Linked DNA regions of Xenopus tropicalis. The protein of the gene in region 1 purifies or fractionates together with the protein of each later gene. This does not show direct contact. Links are inferred from orthologs where the notes say so. Each region holds a gene or a part of one and is shown in the gene's direction. Other genes may lie near its edges.

Region 1 (3,656 bases):
ATCCTCTGTACCCTGCCAAATAAAAAAAGATAATGTCTATATAGCGTAGCCAAACTAGAACATGTTGCCAAAACCTCTCATTTCCATAGACAAACTCATCCTCATACCAAGCCATGAATAAATTTGCATAGGCCGGAGCTACATTAGAGCCCATTGATGTACCCTGGCTCTGTTCAAAAAATTTTTCTTCAAAGACAAAATAGTTTTTAGTCAATACCATTCTCAAAAACTTCAGCAGCATTGTTGGTACCCCACTAGGTAGGTCAAGTTTATCGAGCACCCCTTGTATCACATCCATACCCTGTTCATGTGGGATAGATGTATACAAGGAAGCCACATCCATTGTACATAGCCAGACTCCCTCATCTAGCCCCTGGACAGTATTTAATTTATTGATAAAGTCAGTGCTATCCTTCACATAGGATTTAGTACCTACCATCACCGGATTAAGTACACTATCCAGTAGCATCGCAATCGGTTGAAAAATGGATGATACTCCTGCAACTATAGGTCGGCCAGGGGGATTCTGAAGATTTTTGTGTATTTTCGGAAGAAGATAAAATGCTGGGAAATCAACAGTCAAATAATCATATAGTTTCTTTGTAATTAAGCCATCATTCAAGCATTCCTTCAGGTATTCATCTAGCACCTGTTTCAACACATTCGTTGGATCCTTATTCAAACGCTTATAGTGTTTAATTTCCCAGTTGTAGCCATACTTCCTTTCTATATGCTTCCGCATCCATTACTACAATGGCTCCCCCCTTGTCCGTAGGTTTTATCACAATGGTTTTATCGGAACTTAAAGTCTCTAAGGCTTCTTTTTCAGATTTCTCAAGATTGATACCTGCCGGCAGGAGGTGCCATTTCAGTTTTTCCACATCCTTCCCTATTCTAGCCCTGAGTGCACTCTATTACTTTAAATACTGTATGAAAATAGCAGAGCTGAAAAAAGAGTTTGAAGGTGTACAACCCCTTTAAAGTGCTAGAGTTTGTCAGCTGCCATTTTTTATAAATAATTTTTGGGTTGCAGAACATGCTTTCTCTTATTGTATAATATTTGGTCATAATGCTATTACCCAGTTATCCTAATGTATAAAGCAGTGGAAATGTCAGAATTTTGGGAACAGCACATGTGCAGTTGAGCGAAAAATGCCAGCTTTGTTTGTTAGTCATTTTTCACTCTACTGTGCATGTGTGAAGACCGAAGCAGGAAAAATCGCTAGCTCACATACATCCCTAGCCGGTGCAGTTTTCTCCTAACAGGAGCACCAACCAGGGGTTTCAGGTAAGAGATTACAATCACTAGGGGGTGCCTAACATTTTGGACCCCCCCCCCCCTAGTGATTTAACCTTTCCTTCTCCTTTTAACTTTATTCCCCTGCCCCCTTTCAAAACAAAGCAATTTTCTGCTACCTATATTATAGAAGTTTGTTCTTTCATAAAAGCATTAAAAACAACCTTTGATTTTCCTAGGCATTGACTGGGCTCCTAAAAGCGATCGTATAGTAACATGTGGTGCTGACCGTAATGCATATGTTTGGAGCCAAAAGGATGGTGTATGGAAGCCAACATTGGTGATTCTACGCATTAACCGTGCAGCTACCTTTGTAAAGTGGTCTCCGCTAGAAAATAAGTTTGCAGTGGGAAGCGGAGCAAGACTCATATCTGTGTGCTACTTTGAATCTGAAAATGACTGGTAAGTTATTCTTCCTCATTACACTAACAATATGTAGAGTTACCCGACTAAGGAACCTGGAAATCTTACCTTCGAGCAACATGCTCTCAACATGTTGCTTACCAACCCCTTGGATGTTGCTCCCAGTAGCCTTAAAGCTTGTGCTCATTATAAAAATGTCTGACTTGAAAGCATGTTTTGGAAGCATAGACACCATGTGTACTGCCAGACAAAGACTCTTGTAGTCTGCCAGTCCACATTGGGCTACAAAATAGCCAATCATAGCTCTTATTGGGTATCCCTTAAGAGAACTGTTTTCCAACTTATTTATTTTTAAATTGTTCTCAGAGGTTAAGAAGGTTGGGCCTGCCTGACGTATATGTTGGTGCAGTGCTGAAAAGTACTCTAGTCTGGTGCATTTTTGATTGTTTGGGTGCTTAACAACTTGCCATCTTACATTCTTTCATGAAGGTGTTGCAGTATGCAAGATTTACCAATTGGTGCTTCACATGTTTCTGACTTACGTCATTGATCATAATAATTAGCTTATTAGTGTTATGGTCATTCTGTTTTTTTGGTATTCCACTCTAGCAATCAAGTTATGAAACTGTTTGTTTTATGTAAATGTGGTTAAAAACAAAACTATACAATTTTTATAAATGTAGTCAATAATAAATTAAAGAAGAAATTACAGAATATTGTTTTGGTTTCTACTTTTTTTTTTTTTTTCAATTCTGTGTGGCAGCTTTTTGGATAGCTACGACCCATAATCCTTTATGTTCCAGCAAAATATCACATTTAATTTTCATTTTACATTTTATTCTCATCTTTTCTTCTGGAAAAATGTATTTACCCAGTAAACCTATGTATTTTTTTAAAGGCTTTGTAAATCTCCCTGATTGTTTTTTCTGTGTAATTGTACTTCTGTATCAAGATAATGAACTCAAAGATACAAATCTTTTGGAATGTTTTTTTTTTTTTTTTTTTTAACCCTTTTACTGCCAGCCATTTTGGTCAAAGCGGAACTTGTATTGCCAGACAGTTTTTGAACATTTTGCACTGTTTCACTTTAGGGGCCTTTCCTCGGGGGGACTTTTAGTTTACCAAGGAAAACAATATATCGTTTTTTTCAGAACAACCTAAGCTTTCAAAATATGGTAGAATTTTTGTGTAATTCCAATTCTGTAACAAGATATAGGCTTCTAAATGTCTAAAAATGCAAAAAAAATCAAATTTTCCATAATATAATCACACATACTAGAAACAAAAATTATTTTATGCATGAATATACAACTGATTTGGAAAGTCCCATGTCTCCTGAACGTGCCAATACCAAATATATATAGTTTTATGGAGATTTCTCACTTGTATAGGTCAAAAACTCCCAGCAGTACACTACCAAATTCCCAAAGCACTGCTCCAAAAAAACTGCATACTTTGGATTTCAAGGCCAAAATTCCACTAACAGAAGGTTTATCCCAGAAAATTGTACATTTTTGGAAAGAACAGATTCTGGGGAATACAGAATAGGCACAACTGTCTGTCTACTCCAAACTATCAAGTCGCAATGCTTTCCTAAAGTTATTGGTTTTTATCAAAATTTGTGATTTTTTTTAAAAATCGCTTCAAAGCTTCTAGTCTATAGTATCTTATCTCCTACAGGTCATAAAGTAACCAAATAAAACACCCCAAATATGAATGCCTGGGGTCCACTGAACAGTTTGATGCCCAATATGTATAGGTTTACCTAAGTATGTGGCATGTAGGGGCCCGAATGTGAACATACCCCATATGAACTGTCATTTCTGTCATTTCAGCTTCTGCAAAATCAACACATTTACATCATTATATGTGAGATAAAGCTACAAAAAAGTACGCTCACCCCAGAAAGCCATATATTTTTGGAAAGTACACATTCCCCCGAATCTAAAATGGGTACCCATGTCTTTCTACTCCAAAGTACCAAGCCGCACAGCTT
Region 2 (3,658 bases), on another chromosome or scaffold:
ACAGACGGGGAGATTAGTCGCCATGCGACAAATCTACCTTGGTGCAGGCGACTAATCTTCCCAAAATGCCATCCCACCGGCTAGAATGTAAATCGCCAGTGGGATGCCATACGCGGCGCTGAAATCGACAAAGTTTCCTCTCGAGGCAACAGCCCCAAGGAATGGAGGAGGCTCAGAAGGAAAAGGGGGAGGGGGTAGAACAAGCAAAAACTATTTTATATTAAACACTAACATTATAACAAGATCTGACAACAAGCCATTGCTATAGTACCATTACATAAACTATTGGAACATTGAATTAAGGGGATGACAACCACAGGATATTATATAAAACATGCTATTGGAAATACACATATTCCATCAGCATATGCAGCAACACAGACTTCCACAAAATGCACTCAATACACTTACAATACCTAACTTTATTTATTTAGTCTGGATTTATATAAACACCCGTCCTGCACTGCGTGAAACCCACAAAACGGTGAGGACTTTGCCAGAAAATCCTTTTTTTCTGTACAAAAGCAGTCCAGCAAGCCATGCCACAGTTTTTTTTACCATGCAACAGGTCAGGTCACTGGAAAACACCAAACTGATTATCCCCTGACACCTCCACCGCCCAGGTAAATGTACTACCCACGGGCCCAGCCTGAGTGTCCCGCCTGGGTAAAGCCCACAGAATAGACTGAACGCTTTGATACTGCCTTAATCCCGGCAGAGGTAACCACACCAGCAAAACTAGCGCTCTGACAGTCTCCGGAAGCCGAGAATAAAAGCGGAAGCCGCTGCGCCTGCGCATTGAGTACGACCGCTCCCTGCCAGCAGCACAGAGTCTCCGGTTCGGGATGGCGAAGAATACGGTGTCTGCACGCTTCCGGAAAGTAGATGTGGATGAATATGATGAGAACAAATTCGTTGACGAAGAGGAGGCGGGAGAAGGACAGCAAGGACCCGACGAGGGGGAGGTTGATAGCGCGATTCGGGGATATCCTTGTATGTTGTCTGTGCTGGCAGGGCCTGGCATTGTACCTTTGTATGAACAGACATGCTCCTAATCGCCTGACATATGGGCTGTACCGTGTCATAGTGCTAACATGCTGAAGGTGTGCGGTGTCACATGGAGAGGGCTGACTGCCACTGTTTCCACTATTCCTGTCATGCTTTGTACTCATCTTCATCTTGCAAAGCCTATACTTCCCCCTACACCCTTCTCTTTGTTTGATCTCCAAGCTAAGGTTTCAGGAATATCTACTAGAATAAACTGGCATAGTCCTGATATGGTAGCCTAATAAGCTTTCAAACTGGAGTCAATACACATTTGCTTTTGTCTATGCACCTTGTCATTTGCTATGTGTGGATATGCAGAAGCTGTGCATACCAACTCCAGTTTGCACACTGACTCCATATTACATACCTAAAGGATCTATGGCAAGCAAAATACTTGCAAACCGTATATAGAGGCTCTGCTGTGTAGGAAATGTCAGTAGTTAATCTCCTTTTCCTACAAAGAGGAACTTGCTGTGAGGCTGTGGGAGTGTCAGTCACTTTATCCTGTGCATTTTGTTTCTTTTTCTCTGTCTATCTAAACAAAAACACTTTCTTTCTCACTCTCTCTCTGTTTGAAATCACATACATTTACATGCTTTCTTATCGGTGTTTCCAAGGGTGGATAATACAATAGTGGACTTTGAGCCAAGTTACACACAGGTTGAGCACACAGTTAAACACACCTTGATGGTTCTGTAGCAGTTATTGGTCGTTGTGGTGTTATAGTACAAGCTATATGTTTTTGTGAGGCAAGCTTGGTCTTGCTTCAGGTTTAGGAATGCAGGAAGTGGCTCAGTCTCAGTCATCAGGAAGCATGGGAACTTCTGCTTGGTTGGCTTTTTTTACACTTTTGTCCCAGATCTATATTTTTTTCATTAGTTTTAACACATTTTCAATTCAGACCATATTTCCATATATATGCACAGTAGGCTTTTTCAGATTTATGCTAATATTAGGCCAGGGCCATATAGGGATCTGTGAATATAAAGCATCAACTGAAATTGTTCTGTAATTATTGTATGGCATTTCTTTTGTGTCAGTACGTTATTCCCTTAACAGCTTGCTACAGGAAACATGATGGGAGCTCTGCAAGCTGCTCTAAAGAACCCACCAATTAATACCAAGAATCAGTCTGCCAAGGTAATATGCTTCTAGTAAAATACAACAGGAAACAAATTGTTATTCATTTGCTTATTATTTGCTGAAGGATAAATAAGGTAGTTATAAAGTGGCGTATTGGGTACAGAATATACATCAGTCAGTGCTTACTTCCTCTTTGCTTTTTGTTCCTCCTGCCAATAGTTTTATTGCCACACTATTTTATAAATTATATTCATATCTTACTTTCAGCCAAACTTATTTTGCTGCACTTAATGCATTCTGTACCAATAATCAGCCACTACTCAGTTGGTCATACCAGCAAGTTTTCCAATACAGTTTTACAATTTTCTAACTCTTTATTTTAAATTTTGGAGTATGGACATTGACTTTATCATTGCTTTTTACTTAGGATCGAGCTGAGCACCTGGTGCTGAAAGTTCTAATCTCCTTTAAAGCTAATGACATAGAAAAGGCTGTTCAATCTTTAGACAAAAATAACATGGACCTCTTAATGAAATACATCTACAAGGGCTTTGAGAGTCCGTCTGACAACAGCAGTGCTGTCTTGTTGCAGTGGCATGAGAAGGTGAGCAAAGTACTATGGAGCTGACAAACACATCAGGCATGCAGAGTAGGCACCTCTATTAGGTCATCATAGTCGGAGAGAGAGAAAGGGGGACTCATAAAGCAAAAGGGGCGGGGCTTCACACTAGACAAGGAAGCCGGTAAAAGAGATGCAGCTCATCTGCTTGTAATAGAGAGACAAAGTAATTCTGGATGCAGGGAAAAAAGGTATGTTATTCTGGGGGCTAAACAGAGTAATTTTAGAGTAAATTTAGATTAAAAAAAAAAAAAAAAAGGTTTACTTATTCTTTAAAGGCATACAGTGCCTTCCCATATAAGTAGATACCTTTTAATGCTGATCCCTCTTCTAAAAATGTTTCAGACCCTGTAGGTCTCCCCTAGCAGCAGTTGTTAGGGACAAAATTATCCATGAAATCTGATTCTATATTTTTGAGTGGTAGCAGTAACTGAGCAGTTTTGGAACACTGTTAACAGCACACTTCATGCCCTCCCAAAACTTGTTCAGTGAGGGAGCATGTACACAAGGATTTAACTCCTAGGGGCAAATTTACTAATTTGTAATGATCTGTATTTTGAGATTTTTTTTGTCGCCGTCGCGACTTTTCCGTCGCGAAAAAATCGTACTCTCGTGCCGAGTACGAAAGCGCTCAATACGAAAAAGTTGCGACAACTCGCGAAAGTCGTAACGGCTACGAAAAAGTTGCAACAATTTGCGACAATTCACGAAAAAATCGCAAAATGTTCGTTTCCAATCCGATTTTTCGAGTTTCTTCTTTATGGCAAAACTAAAATATGGCTTTAACAAAATAGTTGGACAAACCCAAGCAGGGTCTGTCCAGATTGACAAAATGTTGTCACTGAATCTAGAGGGACAGGAATAAATGATAGCACAGCCTCTTCTTTATACAGCTGTCACGTTTGGTCA

What was found. Proteins that work in one complex are often made in the same cells at the same time.
Region 2: the proteins of arpc1a (region 1) and arpc5 fractionate together in Homo sapiens (co-fractionation; 8 studies listed by BioGRID and IntAct, counting the BioPlex papers as one, with this or other methods). This does not show direct contact. The link is inferred for Xenopus tropicalis from reciprocal best matches to the Homo sapiens genes ARPC1A and ARPC5.

Annotation. Positions count from the first base shown.
Region 1 is NC_030685.2:41,716,773-41,720,428, forward strand, and holds part of arpc1a (actin-related protein 2/3 complex subunit 1A), read left to right. Parts: intron 1-1,476; coding exon 1,477-1,699; intron 1,700-3,656. UniProt on the Homo sapiens protein: Probably functions as a component of the Arp2/3 complex which is involved in regulation of actin polymerization and together with an activating nucleation-promoting factor (NPF) mediates the formation of branched actin networks.
Region 2 is NC_030680.2:99,903,652-99,907,309, forward strand, and holds the start of arpc5 (actin-related protein 2/3 complex subunit 5), read left to right. Parts: upstream 1-818; 5' UTR 819-845; coding exon 846-985; intron 986-2,114; coding exon 2,115-2,187; intron 2,188-2,557; coding exon 2,558-2,734; intron 2,735-3,658. UniProt on the Homo sapiens protein: Component of the Arp2/3 complex, a multiprotein complex that mediates actin polymerization upon stimulation by nucleation-promoting factor (NPF).